Callithrix jacchus: one gene and its partners. The protein of the gene in region 1 purifies or fractionates together with the protein of each later gene. This does not show direct contact. Links are inferred from orthologs where the notes say so. Each region holds a gene or a part of one and is shown in the gene's direction. Other genes may lie near its edges.

Region 1 (5,729 bases):
TTGTTGTTGTGAATCCAAGTATCTATGTAAAAAGCAAAAACCCCACAGCCACAGTTGTTGTCATCGTTGTCGCAAATTTAATTACTGGGTAGAAATGTCGAGTGCCGCAGCCAAACAGCAGTAGGAGGAGCCTTTCCCATGGCGGAGGGGAAGGAGGGAAACCTAGACTCTATTTCTGGGTCTGCCTCGAGCTTTCTCTGCCGCCTTGGGCAAGTGACTTCAGTTCTTGGTCAATGTCCTGGATTAAGATGGGGCTAACGCCACTGCACTGATTTGCTAGGACAGGTGGTGGAATGTGGGGGGTCGGGGCTGGGAGAGGAGAGGAAGGGCAATATTTCCTAGGAGAAACTGCACTGTAGCTGGGGCAGCTGTGGTGCTGCCAAGCGCAGCGAGTGTGGCAAGCGGACGAACCTCTTGTCTTGTTACCTTGTTTTAAAATTGGAGGTGGAGTGGGATGGATGGTCGATATGCAGCTCTCCCAGCTCTAAGTGCCCAAGTTCTGGGAGCTTGATTGCTTTCACGTCCCTTGGAAACAACTGGCAAAAATGAATTTCACACAGTCTGGTACCAGCTTACCATCTCCGGCACTCTTTGCTGACATTTGCCATTCTTTAAACACAATGACATACGTTTATTAAGGAATCACAGTCCATAACTAAGACAAAGTGAGCTTGAGTTACGTTCCCTAACTCGGTCCACGTTCCTTTAAAACGTCTCAAGTCGCATGTCACTCATCGCGGAGTCGCAGCCTTCCCCGGGGTTCAGGCGTCCGCATTAAGCGCAGGCACAGCGTGGGGATCCCCGCGTGCGGTTTTCCCGCGGCGTCGGAATAGACTGCTTTCGGATTCGCGTTGGGATTGCTTATGCTGCATAATTTCAAAGAAATAAATGTATCAGAATTGCGATGCTTAAGGTCTAATCTATTTAAGCGGGTGGGTCAGCAGCGGGTCAACGGGAAACTTCAAGGTAAATAGTGGCCTCGGCAAAAGGCCGGGTCGCTCACAGCTTCCCCACCGCCTCCCCAGAGCAGACGATTAATTTTTGTGTTTCAGGCAAACCCGCCGCTGCCCGGCCCTGCAGCCTAGCTGGGGAGCGACGGCGGCAGAAACCTGGCGGAGCGAGCGGCGGGCTCGGGTCCCGGCTGGCCGAGGGGCTCGGGCTGGAGTCTGCGGGGCGGTGGAGGGTACTCGCCGCGCTGGGCACAAACTGCTTTCACCCGCAGCGTCTGCACCCGAACCCTCTAGTCCGAGGAAGGGGATTAAAAGTGACAAAGGAAGGAGAAGGGGGGCTCCGTGGAGACACGTCTGGAGGCGTGGAAGGGGCGTCTAGGAGGAGGGGTGAGCACAGCCCCGCAGGGTGCTGGGCGGACGGGTGAAGGGGGCTGGGGGCTCCCGGGCCGGAGCTGGTGGGGGCCCACGGCAACTTGCGCGGGCTGGCTGTGGGGCGAGGGGTCCCGCGCCCCCGGAGGGAGGCGGGAGGCCTGCGGCGGGGGCGCGGGCGGCCGTCGTGCGCTCCGCCCAGAGCGGGGAGCCGGTCGCGCCTCCCCCTGCCGCATGTGCGCGGTGTTGTGTGCCCGGCCCTGCTCCTCCCCCTCCCCTCTCCTCCCCTCTCCTCCCCTTCCCTCGCTCCGTCCCCTCCCCCAGCGGCCCCGAGCGAGCGCCAGCGCCACACAGCCCCGGGCCGCCGCCGCTGAGCGCGCCGAGACGCCGAACAGGTGGCCGGAGGCTGCGGGCGCCGCGGCGGGGAGAGGCGAGGCGAGCCCCGGGCGAAGCGAGGCGAGGCGAGGGCGGCCGGGTCGGGCCCGGCATGCGAGCCGAGCGGTCCCCCGGCGTCACCGCCGCCTGCCCGCTCCCCTAGCCGCCTGCGCGCCCGAGTACCCCGCGGCTCCCCCGCTCCTAGCGTCCCCGACCCGGCAGCTCCGCCTGCGCTCGGCGAGGGGCGCGGGCCTGCCCGCGGCGGCGGCGGCGGCATGAAAGTGACCGTGTGCTTCGGACGGACCCGGGTGGTCGTGCCGTGCGGGGACGGCCACATGAAAGTTTTTAGCCTCATCCAGCAGGCGGTGACCCGCTACCGGAAGGCCATCGCCAAGGTGAGGGGCCGAGGGCACGGGCGGGGAGGGGGGCGGCGGCGGGGACGGCGCCGGGATCAATATGGCGCTTCCTGGAAGGGGGAGGAGAGGCACAGGGAGGCGGGGAAAGGGAAAGTGCGGCCGGGCCGGCCTCGCGGGCGCCCCCCGCCCGGGGCTGCGGGCGCCAAAGTTCTCCGCGCGGGCTGGGGCGCAGCCTCGGGAGCACCGCGCCGCGGCCCCCGCCGCCCCCCGGGAGCTCCGGTCTCGGGAGCGCGGGGCGAGCCGGGCGGCGGCGCACAGGCCAGCCCCGGGCGCCTCCCCGGAGTCTGCAGACCCAGCCAAGCCCCGAAAAGGCGCGCGGGGGGCGGGGGCCGGGAAATCCAGCCCCAGGCCTCTCCCGGCTCCCAGGCCCCGCGGGCACCGACCGGGGACTGGGAACTTCTGGTGTGAGGAGAGTTTCGGGACTGCTCTCCCAACAGAGGCGGGCTGCGAGCTTTCCATCTCCTCTCCCTTTCTCGGGCGGGGGCGGGACCACCGCGGGGGGCTTTTACCTCTGCGTCCCGGGCGGGCCGGGACGGCCGGCCTCGTCCGGGGGCTGCAGGGTTGGGGGAGTCTCTCGCTTGGGGTCCGGGAGGCGTTCCCGGGAGGGCCGCTGCTGGCACTGGCTTGAGAGCATTTACTGTGCTGATCCCCCTTGCTGGGCTCGGTAAAGCACAGCCTCGGCACAGTCGCGGAATGAAAAGTTTTCCTGCGAGGACCTCAGCTCCTACCCATCCCGGGCTGCTTCCATGCGGAGGGCTGTGGAGCCGGGCCTGACTCGGGAGTCGAGTGGATTTCCCTTTTTCCTGCTGGAGTGATAACATTGTCTCCACTTCACTGCATTCCTCTACTATGTGTCAGAAGTGAAAAGACATTTTGTTACATTGTTTTACCGACTGGGTCTGTATTTGACAACAGCCCACGCTGAAGTTTCTCTCAAGCACCCGAGGATATTTCCTTTGTCGTAGAGTCCTGTTTGGTGGGGAGCACATTCTCTTGGGTGCACTGTTTCCTATTTGTTCCCGACAGTGGCCTGGCGCCTGTGGGCTTGGGGGCTGCAGATGACATTGGAAAGTGTCTTGGCCAGCCCTATTGAGCGTACACCGGGTGCTCTGGGTGTCATCTTCAGTGATCTCAGAAATTAAGAAGAAAACGCTTTTTAGACTGCTGTTTTGCTTTCAATATATATTGGAAAAAATAGCATAAATGTGGCCTTTCAAACATAATTTGGGGGAACGTTTAGGAACCTGACTTAAGGCTGGAAGACATTGGCTTTAATAGTTCTGCTATGTTCCTTACAGTTGGTTGAACTCTTTTATTGAAAATCAAATAAAATTAGTGGGAATTGGACACCTGTTTATCTTGCAAAGCTGAGAGGGAAAGAAAACCATCTAAATGGACATTGAGCATTTTTAATGATTGTTTATGTGTGACAGTTTATGCTTTAAATGTTCCAAAAGAATACTCAAATTGTTCAGGTGCTCTGGAACCCAACAAAATAAATCGTGCAAGGAAAGAAATAAAATAATACACACTCTGTACTATGTCTTGGTTCCTGAAAAGGTAGGATGATTGAAGTTTCCTTTCCCTTTACTAATTTTATGTGATTAAAATTGTTTTACCTACTATGTCTCACGTTTCATCATGTACAAAATAGACATAGGCTGAACTGGCTGTTTGACAGTAGTTCAAATGTGGTTGTTTGAGGCATTAACTCGTTCCACAGAAATTCTTAAGCTTTGACTATGTCCAAGGCACTGTTCTGGGTGCTGGACATCTAGGGGACCCACTGGCTGTGAGAGTCTGAGCACGAGGCTGCGAGGTCCTCCAGGTGAAGGGGCTGGTGGTGGGAGAAGAGGTGGCCTCTGGGATGCTGGCGGACTAGATCAGGGCCTACCTGGCCCTTGTTATTAATGATTAGCAGTGGTGGTTTCACAAGGACCTAGGGCATAGAAAAGGGAGTGCAGATTTCTTAAGGGTATCTGGGCAGGTGTCACAAGGAGAAAAGCGGGGCCTATGAGCTGAAGGAAGGGAGGGTGTTAGTGATATGGGAGTTGAGAGGGAGGGTGAGAGGTAGTTCAGGGGTTCCAACACTTACATGCTCTTTAAGTACAACTTAGAGTTCTGTAGGTGAATTTGAACGGGGGCTTTGCAGTAGACCAAGTTCAGTCATTAGATCAGGACTGTTGACCCTCAGATGTTGCTAGAACTCAGGGGTCTTCTGGGCCCCTTTCTCCTTTTTCTTCTGAAATTGCTAGATAATGATTAAGATTAATTTTTAGTCTTTCCCATTCTATATTATGTGTGAGAAAGTGTTAATATGTATTTAACATTTTTTTTTTTTTTGAGACAGAGTTTTGCTCTTGTTACCCAGGCTGGAGTGCAATGGCGCAATCTCGGCTCACCGCAACCTCTGCCTCCTGGGTTCAGGCAATTCTCCTGCCTCAGCCTCCCGAGTAGCCGGGATTACAGGCATGCGCCACCACGCCCAGCTAATTTTTTTGTATTTTTGGTAGAGACGGGGTTTCACCATGTTGACCGGGATGGTATCGATGTCTTGACCTCCATCCACCCGCCTCGGCCTCCCAAAGTGCTGGGATTACAGGCTTGAGCCACCGCGCCCGGCCCTATGTATTTAACATTGTTTTAACTTTTATTCTCTTACCTGTTCCTTACGTACTCCTGTTGCTTAACAGAACAAGACAAATTCTGTGTGGAGAACTGGGTGGCTGGAGAGCTGTGGAGCAGTGTTTGGGTTGCTAGGTGACATGTGGTGTGATGAACTCCCATCTGGTGGGGAAACGTGGGCAGATCATGTTTATGGCTTTGTATAATAACCAACCAAGCCAAAATAAAAAATGAAAAGAGACAGGTCCCAACTCCCAAATCACCAAGGCTTTCTCTGCAGTAAACATTTTCTGGTGTGGTGGGGCTAATTTTCTGGCATTACATCTGAGCTGTTTTCTCCTCAGGTTACACAAATCAATTTTTCTGGATAGTGAAGTGCCATGATTTAATACTAGACATGTCCTCAGTGAGTAGTAGATATTTGAAGGCTTATGCTTAGTCATATGTGACATTTCTTTTTTCTTCTCATGAAAGATGTTTTTATGGTTGTGATTACTGGTGGGTGGGACCAACTGTTCATCTGCATCCACCCATCCACATTGGGAGCCTCTCGGAGGACAGTGTGGTGCTAGACATGGGGAACAGCGTGACATGGACCATTCTCACCAGGATGAGAGGATGGACTGTGCCTGCATCCATCTGTTCTTTTTTTTTTTTTTTTTTTGAGTTGGAGTTTTGCTTTTGTTTCCCAGGCTGGAGTGTAATGGTGCGATCTCAGCTCACCACAATATCCGCCTCCTGGGTTCAAGCCATTCTCCTGCCTCAGCTTCCTGAGTAGCTGGGATTACAGGCATGTTGCCACCACGCTTGGCTAATTTTCTATTTTTAGTAGAGACAGGGTTTCTCCATGTTGGTTAGGTTGGTCTTGAACTCCTGACCTCAGGTGATCTGCCCGCCTTGGCCCCCACAAAGTGCTCAGATTACAGGCATGAGCCACTGAGCCCAGCTGCATCTGTTCTTCTGTGCCTGTGGCCTGACACCCGTGATTCTTGGT
Region 2 (5,874 bases), on another chromosome or scaffold:
TGTGGTCCTGCCAATCAGGGAGAGGAGGGGGAAACCTAAGAATCCAGCTCTCTAAAGGTGGTGACATGGTTTCTAGTCCAGCCATGATCAGAATGTGGTCCCTGGGAGTCCCTGAGACCCCTTTATGGGGGGGGTCTTTGCAAAGCCAAAACTGTTTTCACAAAACTAAGATGTCATTTGTTCTCCTCATTGTCATTGTCTGGAGAGTATACAATGGAGTTTTCCAGAAGGGACAAGACGTGATGACATCATCAGTCTGATGACTGTTGGAATGCATGCTGGTGTATTCCCATGTTTTAGACACATCCGTTTTAATTCTAAGATAAATACTGAAAGATATAACACATAAAGTACTTTGGGGTCCTCCATGATTTTTAATAGTGTAAACGGGTCTTGAGAACAATAAAGTTGGGAACTGCTGTGCTAGTCCAAACGGGAGTTACAGGCCCTGCAGCTGCTCTGATAGGCACTTTATTTCCGGCTGAGCTTGAGTCACCTCGTATGTGCTTTCGTACAGCGGGTGGAGGCAGCTTGCTTATTTATTATTCAGCTTGGATTGGTGTCCTTTCCACCTGTGCTGCCACCTCAGAAGACCAGAAAAACCTTAAATTCCCCCACAAACGTCTGGTGACCTGAATCCTCCAGGGGGAAAAAAAAATGAGCTTCTCACCTTTGAACACAGGTGGGGCAAAGTGAGCCTGCAGAAAGGACACCCTCAGCTGCAGCACAGTACCCACTGGGAGTCAGGCTCTGTACTACTCAATGACAGCAAAGCCCAAGTGCTCCCTGCCTTCGGGAGCTTTCATTCTATGCTGGAGGCGGATTACTCACAAAACTCAGATGCACACAAAAATGGAAACCTGGAACTTGTCACCCGTGCTGGGAAACCGGTACAAGTGTTAGGAGGCATCCGAGGTGGGCAGGGAGGTAAGGGGAGGAAGGCACTCAAACCACTCTTCTTGCCAGATCTAAAGCTGGACCCTCCTCCTCCACCTCCACTCCCCCACCCCCTTTCTGGTTTGCAGGTTTCAACAGCTCTTGGATTCCCAGAACCCACAGGGAGCCCTTGGGACTTGGGAATCTCCTCCAGCCCAAATCTTCAGTCTTCTCCTCTCCTCCCCATGGCCAACAGGGTCTGTGTGAAGAGAGGCCGGGCTCAGGGACTGGGACATTCAGAGAGGAGAATTCAGAGTTTTGTTGCTCTGGGACACAGCTTGGTCACTCCGGGAAACGAACACAACCCATTGGCTGTCATTACTAGAAACAGCGAATGGCTAAGGAATGGCGGGAGGAGGGAAGAGGACTTCAGAGGTTTAAAGAAAAAAAAAAAAAAAAAAAGCACTGGAAGACCGGACTAGAAATCCTCTGGGAGGCTGGGCCCGCAAGGAGCCTTCCCGCGCCTCAAGCCCACTTTCCTTCCCTCTCGACCTGACGAACTTAGGGCGTGCAGAGTCTCTTCGGACAAAGTCAAGCCAAGAGAGCCCTAAGCTTCTCCTCCAGCAACTGCTACAGAAGCTAGAAAACTTAAATTTTGCAAACAAGACTTGCAGCGGGACACCTAAGCGACGCTAAAGGGCGGTGGAGGGGATGCCGCTTCCCAAAGTGGAAGCGGGGAGGGGGACCGGCGGACACCAAACAGCCCCGTGGAGCCTCGGCCACCGGCAGCGCTAGGCGCCCCATCCCCAGAGCCAAGCGTGTGACTCGCGCGCCGGACAACGAGGCGCGCGCTTGCGCGTGCGCAAAAGACCCACCCAGCCGAGCCCTTCTTCAGGTGCGCTCGCGCTTCCGGCCGACCGCCCCGCGTGCTTTCCTCGGGCGGAAACTCCAGAACCCGCGCATGCGCCCTCTGGCTCTCCGGCTTGATGAGGGGCGTAGGTCCACGGCTTCAGGTGATCCCGCCCCTCCCTCGAAGCGCAGGACCAATCGCGCAGCGAAAGGCGGGGTTTTTTGAGGAGGCGGCCCGCCCACGCATCGCGCGAGGCGTGTATCGATTGGTTGGCGCCGCGGGCGCAGGTGCGCGTTTCCTATTGGGTGTGGGCGGAGCGCGAGCGGTTGCAGCAGCTTCGGGGGCGGCAGGTGAGCACGCGCACGCGCCGCGGCTGTGGCCCGGCTCGGGTGCGCGCGCGCGGGCTCGCGGAGGAGGTGGCTGAGGGAGAGGTTGCGGCGCCTGTGGCCTCCGCTCCGCCCCCTCCTCCTCCTCCTCCTCCAGCGCTGTCGTCGCCGCCGCCGCCGGGGCCCGGAGGGAGGGAGCTGCGTCTCCGCCCGCCGCACAGCCAGTCCGACCCTCGGTCCCGCCGTGTGAGCAGCCGACCGAGTGCAGCTCGGCGCAGACGCCAGAGGTGCGGCCGCCTTCTTTGCAGGTGCCTGTGAGGAGGCTCCCGGGCCGCAGCCGCCTTCCGAGCCCGCCGGCCGCGCACTCGCTCCCTGCTCTCCAGAGGGGCCGCCCGGCCGGAGGAGGCCGCCGCTGGCCCGGCGTTCAGCATGAATCGCAGCCACCGGCACGCGGCGGGCAGCGGCTGCCTGGGCACCATGGAGGTGAAGAGCAAGGTGCGCGGGGCACGGGCTGGGCGGAGCGGCGGGCCTGGGGGGCCAGGGCCTGGGAGAGGCTGGGCAGGTCTCGGAGCGCCGGGGGAGGCGACGGTCCGAGCTGCCCCGGGGTCTGGACGTGCGGGCGGGGGATGGTGGGTAATAAACTTGCCGAGGAGGGTGCGGCGGGGGTCGGTGGGCGCTAGTGTCCGTCCGCCCATGGCCCCGGCAGGAAGAAGATCTAATCCAGCGTTTAATCTCGTCCCGTAAATCTCATTCCCGTGTTCACGGCTGGGAGTAGGGGCCAAGGTATGCCCGAGGATGGCACACATTTAGTGGAATGCGAGGCGGCTCAAAAGATGTAGGGGAATCCTGCCTGCTGGGCTGTGAATAAAGGGCCCTGGACCACCTCGTTCCCCCTTTCTGGGGTTCAGGGGCGCATCGAGTGGCGAAGGAGAGAGCCCAGTGAACTAAATAGCCCTTGAAAAGTTCCCTTTGCTTCCTGCTAGCGCTCTTTCTAGAACTAACTTTGGTATGCATTTAATCTGTAAAATTAGCGCTATCACCTTACGCTGGAGTAGCACTTTACAGTTTGAGTTTGGATGCTCTTTTCATTCCATCCTGCTACTTACTTACATCAAGTGTTTTTCCCCTTGACCAGCGGTATGCCAATCTGCTGATAATTATTTCGGTATTCACTGAATTCCTAAATCGCAAGGCTCGGTGAGCAGGGGAGTCTGTAGGGATTAGTTAGGGAATGCCTTCCAAAGGGGGTTTTGAGATGGAGTTTGAAGGTGATCGGCAGCTACGGGAACATTTTCGACGAAGTTTCTTGAGTTGAAGAGTTAAAAGGAGCTTAGATAGTCTAGTCCAATTCTCTGAGAAGACTGAGGTTCAGAAAGGTTATGACTTCCCAAGCTCTTTTTTTGCAATGCCTTCATGCCTTTTTAACAGTAACTTTTAGGCACTGCAGAATACAAAACAGGGCACTGGCTGGGCCCTCGGAACATTTAAAATAGAATTGAAAAGGCCAAAACACAGAAAACGAAAAAATTGAAAGCGTATCAATTTCAAAAAAAAAAAAAGAAGTAATGGAGCGTCATAGATTGTAAGCCTACTAAGGAGTATGCAGAATCAAGGAGTGAGTTGAGTGGAGTAAGGAAAGCTTTCTAGAGCCTCTGGGTAGAATGGTTTTATTGTCTACGGTTGATAAGCAAAGTTCTGTAAGTTTCTGTAACTGAGAATCACATCGAGAAAATCTACATTTGTTTGTAACATCATTTAAAAATGTGATTTGGCACTGAAATGAGGATTGGCACTAGTTTCAGAATCAGTAAGAAGTGTAGTTATAGCAATTTAAGGAATGTTCGTGTGTCTGTGTGCCATGTGCACGGCATAGCAAATTGAAGTGACTTGCTTGAGCTATATAGCGTGAAGATGACCCAAAATATGTAGCAGAGCTTTTCCTCTAGCGGTATAGTGGCAGTAGTGGTTCCGTGCCCAGTGGTTGAACCTTCTTACAGCATTTCTGTTATAAGTCTCGTTTGGATTTGTGGGCGTTGAGGTTATGGAAAGAAAAACACTTGTGATATTGCATAATCTTAAAAATAAGTTTATAGCCCTAATTTGGGTAGCAAATCTTTAATTTTTTTCTCATAAAAAATGAGTTGGAATTCTGTTTTATCAGTATTTATCAGCATGCTGATAAATACAATCAAATAGTAGTTTATCTCTAGTACTAAGAAACCTTGAGTGCTTTAAAACTGGAATTTCAGGCTTTTTGCCTTTCTCTTGTCAACTGATTTTTGAATCTTTCACATACTTCTGTCTAAACTACATGTTGTATATTTGAACTGCCATACTGCACTTTTAGTGAACCATGTCTCTTAAGTAGACTCATACACTGATTCTAGAAACATGCACTGAATGAATGCACTGAATGCACTATTCTAGCTGTTGACAAATAGGCAAGGTATAGGTAGGGGAGTATTCCTAATGTGTCTGTGACACCTTCTATCTTTCAAATATATATTTCTGATACATTTATTTTCAGCGGATTGAAATATTTGTCATCTAATCATTTAAAAAATATTTGGAGGGGTTTTTAAAACAGTATTTCCTTTGACATTGCTTTAGTGATAGCACAGCTTTTTTACAACACTAATCCCTAAGAGTTTGTAACGAAATAGGTAGTGTGCAGGTCCTTTTATTAATTCTTTTATTTTTCGTGTCAGGATCTTGCTCTGTCACTGGGGCTGGAGTACAATGGCACGATCATGGCTCACTGCAGCCTTAACCTCTCGGGCTCAAGTGATTCTCCCACTTCAGCCTCCTGAGTAGTGGGATTATACGCATGCGCCACTACACCCAGGTAATTTTTTTTTTTAATAGAGACGGGGGTCTTGCCAAGTTGCCCAGGCTGATCTTGAACTCCTGAGCTCAAGTGATGCCCCCATCTCTGCCTCCTGAAGTACTGGGACTACAGGCATGAGCCACTGCACCCTACCTGGTCTATTTTTCTTTTCTTTTATTTATTTTTATTTTTTAAAATCTTTTTAGAAACAGTTTTGCCATGTTGCTCATGCTGGTTTCTAACTCCTTAGCTCAAGTGATCTGCCCACCTAGGCCTTCCAAAGTGCTGGGATTACAGGAGGTAGCCACCACACCGGGTTCTCGTCCATTTTTAATATCTCTTTTTCTTCATATAAAGCAGTAGTGTCAGCCGTGTGTGGTGGCTCACTCCTGTAATCCCAGCACTTTGGGAGGCCAAGGTGGGCGAATCACCTGAGGTCAGGAGTTCAAGACCAGCCTGGCCAACATGATAAAATCCTATCTCTACTAAAAACACAAAAATTAGTTGTGCTTGGTGCTGCATGCCTGTCATCCCAGCTACTTGGGAGGCTGAGGCAGGAGAATCATGTGAGCCTGGGAGGTGGAGGTTGTGGTGAGCCGAGATTGTGTCACTGCACTCCAGCCTGAGTGACAGAGGGAGACTCCGTCTCAAAAAAATAAAAAGTTTGAAAAATGAATTAAAGCAGTAGTGTCAACTTTCTTATCTTTGCAAGTGGCAGGGAAAAATAATGATAATAAAATAATGGAGAACGTAAATATAAGTATAGTTAAATTTGTGATACCAGCTAGTATGTCACTTTTCTTTGGAAACTGATTTATCTTCCTAACTGTATCTCTAGTGTTGGAAAGATTCTTAATCAATAATCATGGTGATGTCCTTTAATAACCCTGGAACAGTCTTTGAGTCATAAAATTTCCTAATTATTATTCATAAGCAAATAGACTATGAAAATTAAGTTTGTATTTCTAGAATGTACCAACAGACACTGGGGGAAG
Region 3 (5,279 bases), on another chromosome or scaffold:
AATGAAAGTTGTGAAGAAAGAACTTGTTAATGATGATGAGGTAAGCACCACATGTTTCATTGCTTCTAAACTGTTAAACTGCTTAAGAATAAGCAGTTTATTCTTATTTATTGATTGAGGTTTAAAATAAAACCCCAATCTTTGTGCTTTATTATTTGATTCTACTTTTCTAAATATGTGCTAAGTACATTAAATATATTATTTCAGTTTACTTTTCTTATAGATTATATAAGATATTTAAAGTAATTTGATTATTATTAGACTTTTAAAAAAAAAAAACAAAAATCGGGCCGGGCGTGGTGCTCAAGTCTGTAATCCCAGCACTTTGGGAGGCCAAGGCGGGTGGATCACGAGGTCAAGAGCTCGAGACCATCCTTGTCAACATAGTGAAACCCCGTCTCTACTAAAAATACAAAAAATTAGCTGGGCAAGGTGGCGTGTGCCTGTAATCCCAGCTATTCAGGAGGCTGAGGCAGGAGAATTGCCTGAACCCAGGAGGCGGAGGTTACGGTGAGCCGAGATGGCACCCATTGCACTCCAGCCTGGGTGACAAGAGCGAAACTCCGTCTCAAAAAAAAAAAACAAAAACAAAAACAAAAATCAAACCACATTATTGTCAGAGGAAATACTTGAGCTTGTAAAAATCTTCTAGACGGTTTTATGATATTGAAAGGTTTACTAGTGTTAATTTTCTCTTTGTAAATTTTTGTTCCATGATCATCAATGGTTTTTATATTTAGCCTAGTTAACAGTTGCATTTGTGACAGTTGAATTGCTCAGAACAAATTTATCATTAATTGCGATGATTTCAGTTTGACATAGATTCCTTTCATGTTTCAAAATAGGATATTGATTGGGTACAGACAGAAAAGCATGTGTTTGAGCAGGCATCCAATCATCCGTTTCTTGTTGGACTCCATTCTTGCTTTCAGACAGAAAGCAGGTAAGATTGAAAGATAATAGAATGATTACTGGGCTTCATATTTTGGGCATATTACACAGAACCTTTCTGCTGTAATTCATGAAGTAGACATCATGGAGGATGCAACAGTGTTCGGCTTATAACTTCCTGCTACTATTACTCCAGTCACTGATGGCAGTTTGATATTGGATCAGCATTAGGCAGAACAAGAAATAGCCATGTCATAATTATGGCAGTGGAAATCCAACCTTTAAATATCCCCGGTATTCTAGTTTTATAGTTTTATGACTTAAAATTTTCTAGAGTTTAACGAAAAGGAAAAATGCTAACTTCTTAACCTTGACAGTCAAAAACAACTTATTTAGCAAAGGCTAAAATTAGGATGGTAATGAGTGGCTTTGGATTGCAAGTGGTATTACTTTAGAATAGAAGTAGGAGATTACAAAATTATGATCATGCTGGTTTACTTTCTCATATCTTCTGTACCTTAGCTCTCTTTGTTTCCACCAAAATCTTGGCATCTTTTTAAAGGCTAAATAGTAGAGAATGCTCTCTGTCGTGACTGGTTTGTGAAAATGCAGTTACACTGCCTTTCTTTGGATCTTGATTTCATGAGTTCTCTCCTGTGTTTTAGATTGTTCTTTGTTATAGAGTATGTAAATGGAGGAGACCTAATGTTTCATATGCAGCGACAAAGAAAACTTCCTGAAGAACATGCCAGGTAAGTTTTGTTTACCCTGTGTGTGTGTGTGTGTGTGTGTGTGTGTTTCAGGGCCATGTGGCTTCTTATGTGCAGTGGTTGGAAACAGTAGTTAAATTTATTTTGAGCCAGGCGCGGTGGCTCAAGCCTGTAATCCCAGCACTTTGGGAGGCCGAGGTGGGTGGATCACGAGGTCAAGAGATCGAGACCATCCAGGTCAACATGATGAAACCCCGTCTCTACTAAAAATACAAAAAATTAGCTGGGCATAATGGCGCGTGCCTGTAATCCCAGCTACTCGGGAGGCTGAGGCAGGAGAATTGCCTGAACCCAGGGGGCAGAGGTTGTGGTGAGCCGAGATGGCGCCATTGCACTCCAGCCTGGGTAACAAGAGCGAAAACTCCGTCTCACAAATAAATAAATAAATAAATTAATTAATTAATTAATTTTGATACAAGTTAATTCTTTGTAAGTCATTCATAGGCTGACCTAAAAGTTAATTTACATTATATATGTAAAACAATTATACTATATATTATTTTACATTTATACACACATGTCACGTACACATGCATGCACACAGTGCTTCCTAAGCCATTGAAAAATATAAACAATATTAAAAGGGAAACCTTTACTAAAACCAATCCTTTTCAAATATTTTGTGTGTTTAGCATCAGCCATTTAAATAATTGAGACTAATAAACATGTATTAGTCTTTTCAGGTTTGTAGTGGTCTCTGAGAGAGCTTTTCATTATGAGAGTGCTATTCATACATACTTGAGAGTAGTACAGACCATCCGTCTGACTGGGCATAGTGGTTCATGCCTATAATCCCAGCACTTTGGGAGGCTGAGGTGGGTGGATCACCTGAGGTCAGGAGTTTGAGACCATCTTGACTGACACGGTGAAACCCCGTCTCTACTAAAAATACAAAAATTAGCTGGGCGTGGTGGCGAGTACCTGTAATCCCAGCTACTCAGGAAGCTGAGGCAAGATAATTACTTAAATCTGGAAGGCAGAGGTTGCAGTGAGCCAAGATCGCGCCACTGCACTCCAGCCTGCCTAACAGAGCAAGGCTCTGTCTCAAAAAAAAAAAGAAAAAAGATCCCTTTTAAACTAGTATATACTTCTGACTGTTCTTCCTGTGGTTTATTGTTCTTTGGCTTTTTTTCCCTTTAATCCCATAATTATTGATAAGTAAGAGAAAAGAGTATTGAATATGAATTTTGTGCTCCTAATTTGATATTAATATATAAGATTGTAAATTATGTGTTGGAGGAGATTGGTGGGAAGGGATCAGGGTCTTGAATAAACAATTTAATCCATCAGTACCAGGTTTTGTTTTTATTCATAATCAGCAGTAATTCTCACCCTTTCCTGCTTCACAAGAGTAATACCAAAATGAAACATATGAGTTTGTATATGTTTGTAATTATCAAACAGAGAACAAATATTAGAAATTTCATTTAAATAAAAAACTTGTGGAAATTTTGCTACTTCATTATTGCTTGTGAAAAAGTGATAATATTTAATTTCATAAGAAGATATAAATTGTACTTATCTTGAGGCCAGACTGGGTTTTTTGTTTATTTGGATTTTGTTATCGTTTTGGTGTTCCTGTATGTTCATTGTGTATTCGGCTTTATCAAATGATCCACCCTTCATAGCAGAGCCACAGATGATATTTTGAATTGTGAACATAGCCAGTATTTGTTCCTTGTCTGTTCAGCTGAATGTGGGGAAGCTAGTCTGGTTTTTACTGTGTTAATGTGCCGGTTCTGGCTTTATACCACCATCTTTGCTTCTGTAAGAACTAAAGCCCAGAATTAGGGCTTAAGTTCCTGAATCACAGAATTAAGTAGCTAGAAGGTGTATGTTATATACCTCCACATGTAATTGCGATAACGTGCCACCAAAGCAGCCATACAACACCTCAGGTGTTCCATTTTCATTATTCAGGCCAAAAGTTCTGGGTTGTCACCAGTGAGTTGGTAGCAATTTTTTAAAGTTCTTTGTTTGATATTAAATTTTATAGTCGTAGAACAGTTCCATTTAATTCCTTTCCTAAAAGCTTTATGAGGATTTTATGGTGTTGAGTAGTTACCTTGTAGTAGTCTTCCTATTCTTTTTTTTTTTTTTTTTTTTTGAGACAGAGTCTTGCTCTGTTGCCAGGTACAAGGCTGGAGTGCAGTGGCGTGATCTCGGCTCACTGCAACCTCAGCCTCCTGGGTTCAAGCAATTCTCCTGCCTCAGCCTCCCAAGTAGCTGGGACTACAGGCGCACACCACCATGCCCAGCTAATTTTTGTATTTTTAGTAGAGACGGGGTTTCACCATGTTGGCCAGGATGGTCTCGATGTCTTGACCTCGTGATCCACCCACCTCGGCCTCCCAAAGTGCTGGGATTACAGGCGTGAGCCACAGCGCCCGGCCTTTCTATTCTTGACACTGTCAGTGGTTCTTAGCCTACTGGGGGGTCATGGGTCCCTTAGAGGAGGGATGAAAGCTGTGAGGACTCTGTAGATGTTGTGCATGTACATATGTGCACACACCTTTACCCCCAGTTGTAGAAGTATGAACTGCCTGAAGTTTACCCAAGGACCCAGATTAAGAACCCCTGTTTGAGACTTTCAAATTAATAGCCTTATGAAAAATGTGAGTTTAAGTTAAACTTGTATAATTGTGTCGTGGGCTCAGATGTTTTAAAGTGGTACTTCAGTTCATTTTTTAAATTTGTTTCTAAAAATCACTGGGAGGAAAAAATATGTTTTGATATGAATTTTTATGTTTCCAGTTGCAAGTTTAGAACTTAAATATGATTGAATCAAATGATTTATTTTTTATTTTATTTTAGATTTTACTCTGCAGAAATCAGTCTAGCATTAAATTATCTTCATGAGCGAGGGATAATTTATAGAGATTTGAAATTGGACAATGTGTTACTGGACTCCGAAGGGCACATTAAACTCACTGACTATGGCATGTGTAAGGTGAGGAACACTTTCTAGTTATTTAAAAAGGTCTTCGGCAGCTAGTAGTCTTTGTAAAACAGCTTCATGTTTAAAGATGGGAAAATGATTACTAATTTTGCTAATTTATTTATGGAGCTTTGTGGAATTCTAGCACAAAGACAAATGTACTATTTTTCTAACCATTTGCAAAGTTTACATCTTCTGTGTTACGTGTACTACAATAAGAGTTAATTTCTTTTTATTAAACATAACTTTTTATCTTGAAAGTTGTAATACAATTGAAGAAAATTTGGAAATAAAAGCTGTCTGCAATTCCACCACTTAGCACAACCATCTGCATATGGCCTTCCAATTTTTGCCATTTAGTAGTGAATCTTATATAATGCATTCAGGATTTTCCTCAGAAGTCAAACATTTTTTATATTTAAATTTTAAACACCTGACAGTATAATATGTAAAAAATTTTATAATAAATAAAAATATAAAGAATTTTAGTTACTCTCAGAATATGTCTTCTTTTTTTCTTGATGTTTTATTCTTTTTATAATAGTGTTCCATTTTAAAGGTCTGGTATTTTCCCACAAAATGTGTAAGGAACTACTCCTTTTTAAAGTAACTGGTACAAAATTATCCTCACATAGTAATACAACCACCAGTATGTAAATGTGTGAATTGCATTCCCTGTT
Region 4 (6,070 bases), on another chromosome or scaffold:
CAGGTTAGGGGACTGAGATTAAGAGTTCTTCAGATATGCTCATTCTGAGATGCTAGTGGATGTTGCAGTGACAATGTTGAGTAGGCATCTGGATGTGAGAAAGGAGTCTGACCTAGAAAAATGTAAATAGAGATTTGTCAAGCACATGGTACTTCCAAGTTATGAGACTACGAGATCACCAAGGGAATGGATAGAAATAGAGAAGAGGAGAGGACTAATAATTGAGACCGGGGATACTCAAACATTAAAAATTCCTAGAGCAGAGGAGACTGAGAAGGCACCCTCGTGAAGCAGGAGAAAACCAAGAAAGTGCTGTGTCCTGGAAGAGAGTGAAGAAAGTAGATCAGGAGAAAGGAGTGACAAACTGACCCTTGTATTTAGCGAGGTGATTGGTGATCTCAGTAACAGTAGTTTGGGTGGATGGTGGGGACAGAAGCCTGGCAGGAATGAACTTGATAGAGAATGGAAGGTGAGAAAATGAAAGTGAGTATCGACAGTTCTTGAAGGAGTTCTGCTGCAAAAGAGAAGATAATCAGTGGGAGGAAAGGGATCAGAAGAGGGCTGTTTTGTTTAAGATGGGTAAAATAGCCAGTTATTTATTCTTTGATCCAAAAGAAAAACTGATGGAGAGAGTGTTGGTCCTGGAGTGAGGGCAAGTAGGTGGATTCCTGATTCCCACAGGGTTCTGTGCCTGCAGTAGTACTGGTGCCCAGGCCCCTGTGTGCCATGGCCCGGGAATGACTAACAGATGCCCAATCCATTCTGAGGCCTTGGGGCTAGAAGACTTCCTTACTGTCCAAAATTTGGACCTCTTTCTATGAGAGAGTTGGTCAGACACCAGTGAAGAGTTTGGGTTTTAAGTCAGAAATTAAATTAGAAATTAGAGATAAATTAGAAGGGAAGATAGAACCAATGAGTTTTTCTTTGTAAGCAATGGCTTGAGAGCAGCTGAAGTTTATCCTTCTTGTCCCCTGAGACCATCTTTACCAAGGTGGCACAAAGCCTGTAGAAGAAAGCAAGTGAGTCATGCAGGAGGGCACGAAGTAGAAGGAGGCATCATTCAGGGTCCAGGCACAGCGCCAGCACATGAGAGTGGCACTCCCATACATTTGTGCCCCAGCTGCCTAACCTACCTGATCACCCTAGCCCTGGGAAGGGCACTGTGGTTTAAGAGGAACAGTAGGAAAGTTCTTTCCCTAATTATCTCTTCTCATATTACCAACTGTAGATTAACTAAATGTGCTTTACTTTAATCTGATATTTCCTTCCCCACCCCCCCGTCTTTTTCGAGACAGAGTCTTGCTTTGCCTCCCAGGCTGGAGTGCAGTGGCTCCATCTCTGCTCACTGCAACCTCCGCCTCCTGGGTTCAAGTGATTCTCCTGCCTCAGCCTCCTGAGTAGCTGAGATGACAGGCATGCGCCACCACGCCTGACTAATTTTTGTGTTTTTAGTAGAGACAGGGTTTCACCATGTTGGCCAGACTGGTCTTGAACTCCTGACCTCGTGATCCACCTACCTTGGCCTTCCAAAGTGCTGGGATCACAGGCATGAGTGCCCAGCCTCACTCTATATATTTAGTTGACTTTAGGCACTTTAAGGAATAGGAGGAGGATGTGGCGAATAGAAAAGGAATGCTTCTGGGCTGAACAGTTCTATTGTTGGTGATAGGAGAGGGCAGGGAATGATTGATTCTGGGCCTTTGCACAAATAAGGGACAATATGAGAGACTTCTGGATACCTAAGATGTAGGCCGGGGGAACTGGGGGATAGAAAGGAGATAAATGAGGGTCAGTCCTGGTCACCAAGACCAGAAAAAAACAGCTCCTCTCCACCTAAGTACCCTTGTCATTTTTAAGTGTCATAAGAGCCCTCATACTATTTTGTCTTTCCTTCCTTGGAATCCAAAAGTGATAGATATCACTCTCCTCATTAATTCCAGGGTTCTGCCCAGGGCAGATCTAAGAGCAGTCTCCTATTGTCCATCTTTGTACCTTAGAAACCAAAGGAACCCTTTCAGGAACATCTACAGCATCTGGAAAATAATTCTCAAGACCTAACTTTATATTGCAGTTTCTTTGGGATGAGGCCTCTGGCTATTTTGGTTTGTGTTAGCCCCAGTTATGCCTAAGAACTGAGTCAGTCATGTGTCCATGGAAAGAAATCCCCATTGAAAATAGTAGGTACTGACTGTAGCCAGAATTGCATAATCAGTCCTCTTTAAGAATTTCTTCAGAACCTGTTTTCCAAAAAGATTAGCCAGATGTTTCCCAAAAGAACTTTCCTCTTCCTGATGAGCAATATTATTTTTAATAGGGGTGGATTACTCTTCTAGGCCTTGCTTCCTCTCTGCCTCCAGTCCTACAAACACCCAAGTCAAGTAAATATTATACTTGACATTATTAATTAATTGAGACTGAGTGCTGTCGTTGGAATGTTCCTGTATCTCCCCCCACCCACCATTCATATTGAAACCTAATCACCAATGTGATAGTGTTAAGAGTTGTGACCTTTGGGAGGTGATTAGGTCATGAGGAGTCATGAAAGTAGGGCCATCATAAATGGGGTTAGTGCCTTCATAAAAGAGGCCCCAGGGAGCTGTCTTGCCCTTCCTCCATGGGAGGACACAGCTAGAAGGCACCATCACCATCTGTCCACCAGAAAGCAGGCCCTCACTAGACACTGAGTCTGACAGTGGCTTGACCTTGGACTTTCCAGCTTCCAGAACTGTGAGAAGAAAATCTGTGTTGTTTATAAGCCACCTAGTTTACGGTATTTTACTATATCAGCATAAAGGGACTAAGAAACTGACCCATGAACTTCAGTTTGAATCTAGTGTCTTTAAAGCTTTGTTACTTTATGCATATCATATCTATGATATATATGTAATATATAACAACATATGCATGGCACATATAGTAGGCCTGTGGTAAATGTTTTTTGAAGCAATTAGGTGCAATGTATATTCTTTTTCTTTATCTTATTAGGCAGTGGAGTATTTATTAAAGTTCTGGTTCCACAATGCCGGATCGAAGTCTTGGCTTTTCCTCTAATGAGGTGTGTGATCTTGGGCAAGTTTTATAACTGCTCTGTGCTGAATTCCTCCTCTGAAAAGAAACAATAATCATATCTACCTTATAAGATTAATAGGAAACTTAAATAAATTGATACATTTAAAACAGAACATTCAAAACAGAACATCTCCTGGCATATGGTAAGAATTTAACAGAACAAAAGCTGTCAGGCATCTAATATTTAAAAAGTGAGAAAACTAAATTTCCTCTTTTTCCTCAGATAGCAATGTAACTGGCAGTGAATATTTAAGTGTCGGTTGTGTGAACTGTCATTATTTAGCCTTTTTCAGTGGCTATAAACAGCTTCCTGTGTTTCTGAAAAGGGAGGAATAGACATCATATTCCCATTCGGCCTCATACCAGTATATCACTCGTGACACCTAAACATAACTATATCCGTATATTATTTATATCATTGCTAATTATGTGAGTTGAATTTTTAAAATACGTGGGCCTATGATTAGTATCCAGATTTGTTTTTTCTTGGGCATGACGTTGCTTCCATGTGAGTCCTCTTCTTTCTTTCTTTTTTTGGGGGGGTGGATAAGGTCTTACTCTGTTGCCTAGGCTGGATTGCAGTGATGTAAACATAGACAGCTCACTGGAGCCTCTCAACCTCCTGGACTCCAGCAATCTTTCTGTCTCAGCCTCCCATGTACTTGGGACCACAGGCCACCATGCCTAGATAATTTTTTAATTTTTTGGAAAGATGGAGTCTCCCTTTGTTGCCCAGGCTGGTCTCGAACTGATGGGCTGAAGCAATCCTCCTGCCTTCGCCTCCCAAAATGCTGGGATTACAGGCATGAGCCACTGCACCTGGCCTCACCTGAGTTTTAAGAGCTGTGCCAGTTTGTTCTGTCTTCTTGCTTTTTCCTGCATTCAAGTTTATGGAATCAAAATGAAGGAGAGTGTATCTCCCAGAATTTAAAACTGACCAGGTTTCCATGTAATTAGCAGCATGTTTTCCACAGGGTCTTTTGTTATTGGCAGTCCTGTCCAATAAAAAGGGCCACATTCTTGATGTGTAGTGTGTCTGCAGGACTGCCCTGCCAGCTCTGTCTCATTTCTAGTAATCCAAGTCTAGTAATCCAATAAACTCATAGGAAAATGTGGCTTCTCTGATGATAGCCACCTGGTGGGACAGTACTTTCAAATTCTTAAGATAGTTTTAAACAGGTGAGTGTAGTTTAATTGTTTACAGCAAACCAACAGATATTCTTGAAGAATGAAGAAATGAACCTCTATGAGTTTAAGGGAGTTCGGGGTTATATGGTACTCTGAACTCAAGTCTGCTGATTCTTTAAATCCTGTGTCCTTACAGTTTTACTATTTTCCATCAAATTTACTCAGGTTTGGTAAAATCGTAGTAATAGCACCTGGAGCATTAGCCAGGCTTCTTCATTAGAAATCACAATCATGGAATTATAATTCCAGTAATATCATACAATTTGACACTTGTTTGCTCTAGAAAACTTTGTTTTGTATAATAAAGAGACCTAGTTTCTTTTTACCTGAGTTGTTTATTCAAACTGCTTATATATCATAAGCATTTTCTAACTAGCTTTAAATTTTTAATGTTTTTCTAATATATGCATACTTCATCAACTTTCATGTTGATAAAAAAATCTTTTTTCCTTTAATGTGGCTAATGTTGACTAGGCCTAAATTAAGACTTTGAAATTCTTAGTAGTATAATTACCAGTTTTCATCCTATTCTTGTGGTCCTAGAAAGAATGAAATAGTTCTGTTTTGTAACCATTATTTTTCTAAACCCCATCCAAGTAAATGGCACATTTTTATATTTTGTGGACAAAACTCAGACCTGTTGTATTGGTTTAAGGAATATGAGAGTGTGGACCTTTGTTGCTTTGTGAAGTTGTGTTCTAGTACCCTGCCTGAGCTGCCAGTGCCTCTGCACAGCAGGGATAGGCACAGCTGGGTGGTGCCATGTGCCCAGTGACTTGCTGAGTGGGCACTCACTCACTACAGCAGCAAACTTCAGCAAATGTGTTTCAACTGATAACATTCATACTAGTGATGACAACAGATGTATGTGTTTTCTGTGCCCGTGGCAGGCATGATTAGTTGATCATGGTATGTGTTCATGCTGAGCCTGGTCATCCTTTTAAGCATCACATTCTTGGCATCTATAGTCAGACCCTCAGGCTTAGTAGACAGGATAAAACATATGTGCTATCCTTGGCTCTAAATATGTCTGTGTTAACTTTCTCCCAATATGTTTTTGGGAAATAATAAATAAGATAAATTATTGCGTTGTTTTATAGGAAGAACAGACACTGAGCATTTTTCTGTATGTCTTGATTGGTTTGGACAATTGCACTTAATACAGGTCATATTCATTTTTAATGGCATGAAGAAGTCTCCATGTCAAAAATATTTCAGGTTGATTACTGATTCGTAGTATGTATTTATTTGAAAATTATTTCTCAAATAGATATTTGAAATAAGAAACAAATTTTGACAAAACTCATAGTTCTCCATGATGAGATTAGATCTTTTTATATAATTAGAAACTGTGAAGTTTTCATTAAATTCGAATCATAGAACAAAATACTAATCCTTTAAGAATAGAATTTAAAACTCTGTGGCTGTAATTGTAGAAATTAAAACTTGTTAAAATTAGGATTATAGCTTTTGTTTATTTGGTCCTTTTTGCTTTGAGACCTTACTAGTACTTCAGTTGAAAACAGCATTAAAAAAATATTCCATACAGGCTGGGCATGGTGGCTCATGCCTATAATCCCAGCACTTTGGGAGGCTGATATGGGAGAATCACTTGAGCCCAGGAGTTTGAGACTAGCCTGGTCAACATAGTGAGACCCCCGTCTCTAAAAATAAACATTTTAAAAAAGGCATCATGGTGCACACTTGTAGTCCCAGCTACTTGGGAGGCAGAGGTGGAAGGATCACTTTGGCTTGGGAAGTCGAGGCTGCAGTAAGCCAAGATCATGCCACTGAACTCCAGCCTGGGCAGCAG

The links.
Region 2: the proteins of PARD3 (region 1) and PARD6B purify together in Homo sapiens (affinity purification with mass spectrometry; 5 studies listed by BioGRID and IntAct, counting the BioPlex papers as one, with this or other methods). This does not show direct contact. The link is inferred for Callithrix jacchus from reciprocal best matches to the Homo sapiens genes PARD3 and PARD6B.
Region 3: the proteins of PARD3 (region 1) and PRKCI purify together in Homo sapiens (affinity purification with western blotting; 5 studies listed by BioGRID and IntAct, with this or other methods). This does not show direct contact. The link is inferred for Callithrix jacchus from reciprocal best matches to the Homo sapiens genes PARD3 and PRKCI.
Region 4: the proteins of PARD3 (region 1) and RASSF8 purify together in Homo sapiens (affinity purification with mass spectrometry; 4 studies listed by BioGRID and IntAct, counting the BioPlex papers as one, with this or other methods). This does not show direct contact. The link is inferred for Callithrix jacchus from reciprocal best matches to the Homo sapiens genes PARD3 and RASSF8.

The regions. Positions count from the first base shown.
Region 1 is NC_133508.1:34,436,909-34,442,637, reverse strand, and holds the start of PARD3 (partitioning defective 3 homolog), read left to right. Parts: upstream 1-1,641; 5' UTR 1,642-1,969; coding exon 1,970-2,089; intron 2,090-2,619; exon of another isoform or gene 2,620-2,898; intron 2,899-5,729. UniProt on the Homo sapiens protein: Adapter protein involved in asymmetrical cell division and cell polarization processes. Seems to play a central role in the formation of epithelial tight junctions. Targets the phosphatase PTEN to cell junctions.
Region 2 is NC_133506.1:46,270,506-46,276,379, forward strand, and holds the start of PARD6B (partitioning defective 6 homolog beta), read left to right. Parts: upstream 1-2,275; 5' UTR 2,276-2,481; coding exon 2,482-2,547; intron 2,548-5,874. UniProt on the Homo sapiens protein: Adapter protein involved in asymmetrical cell division and cell polarization processes. Probably involved in formation of epithelial tight junctions.
Region 3 is NC_133518.1:16,769,731-16,775,009, reverse strand, and holds part of PRKCI (protein kinase C iota type), read left to right. Parts: coding exon 1-40; intron 41-845; coding exon 846-943; intron 944-1,556; coding exon 1,557-1,643; intron 1,644-4,475; coding exon 4,476-4,611; intron 4,612-5,279.
Region 4 is NC_133510.1:45,277,671-45,283,740, reverse strand, and holds the start of RASSF8 (ras association domain-containing protein 8), read left to right. Parts: upstream 1-2,603; 5' UTR 2,604-2,770; intron 2,771-6,070.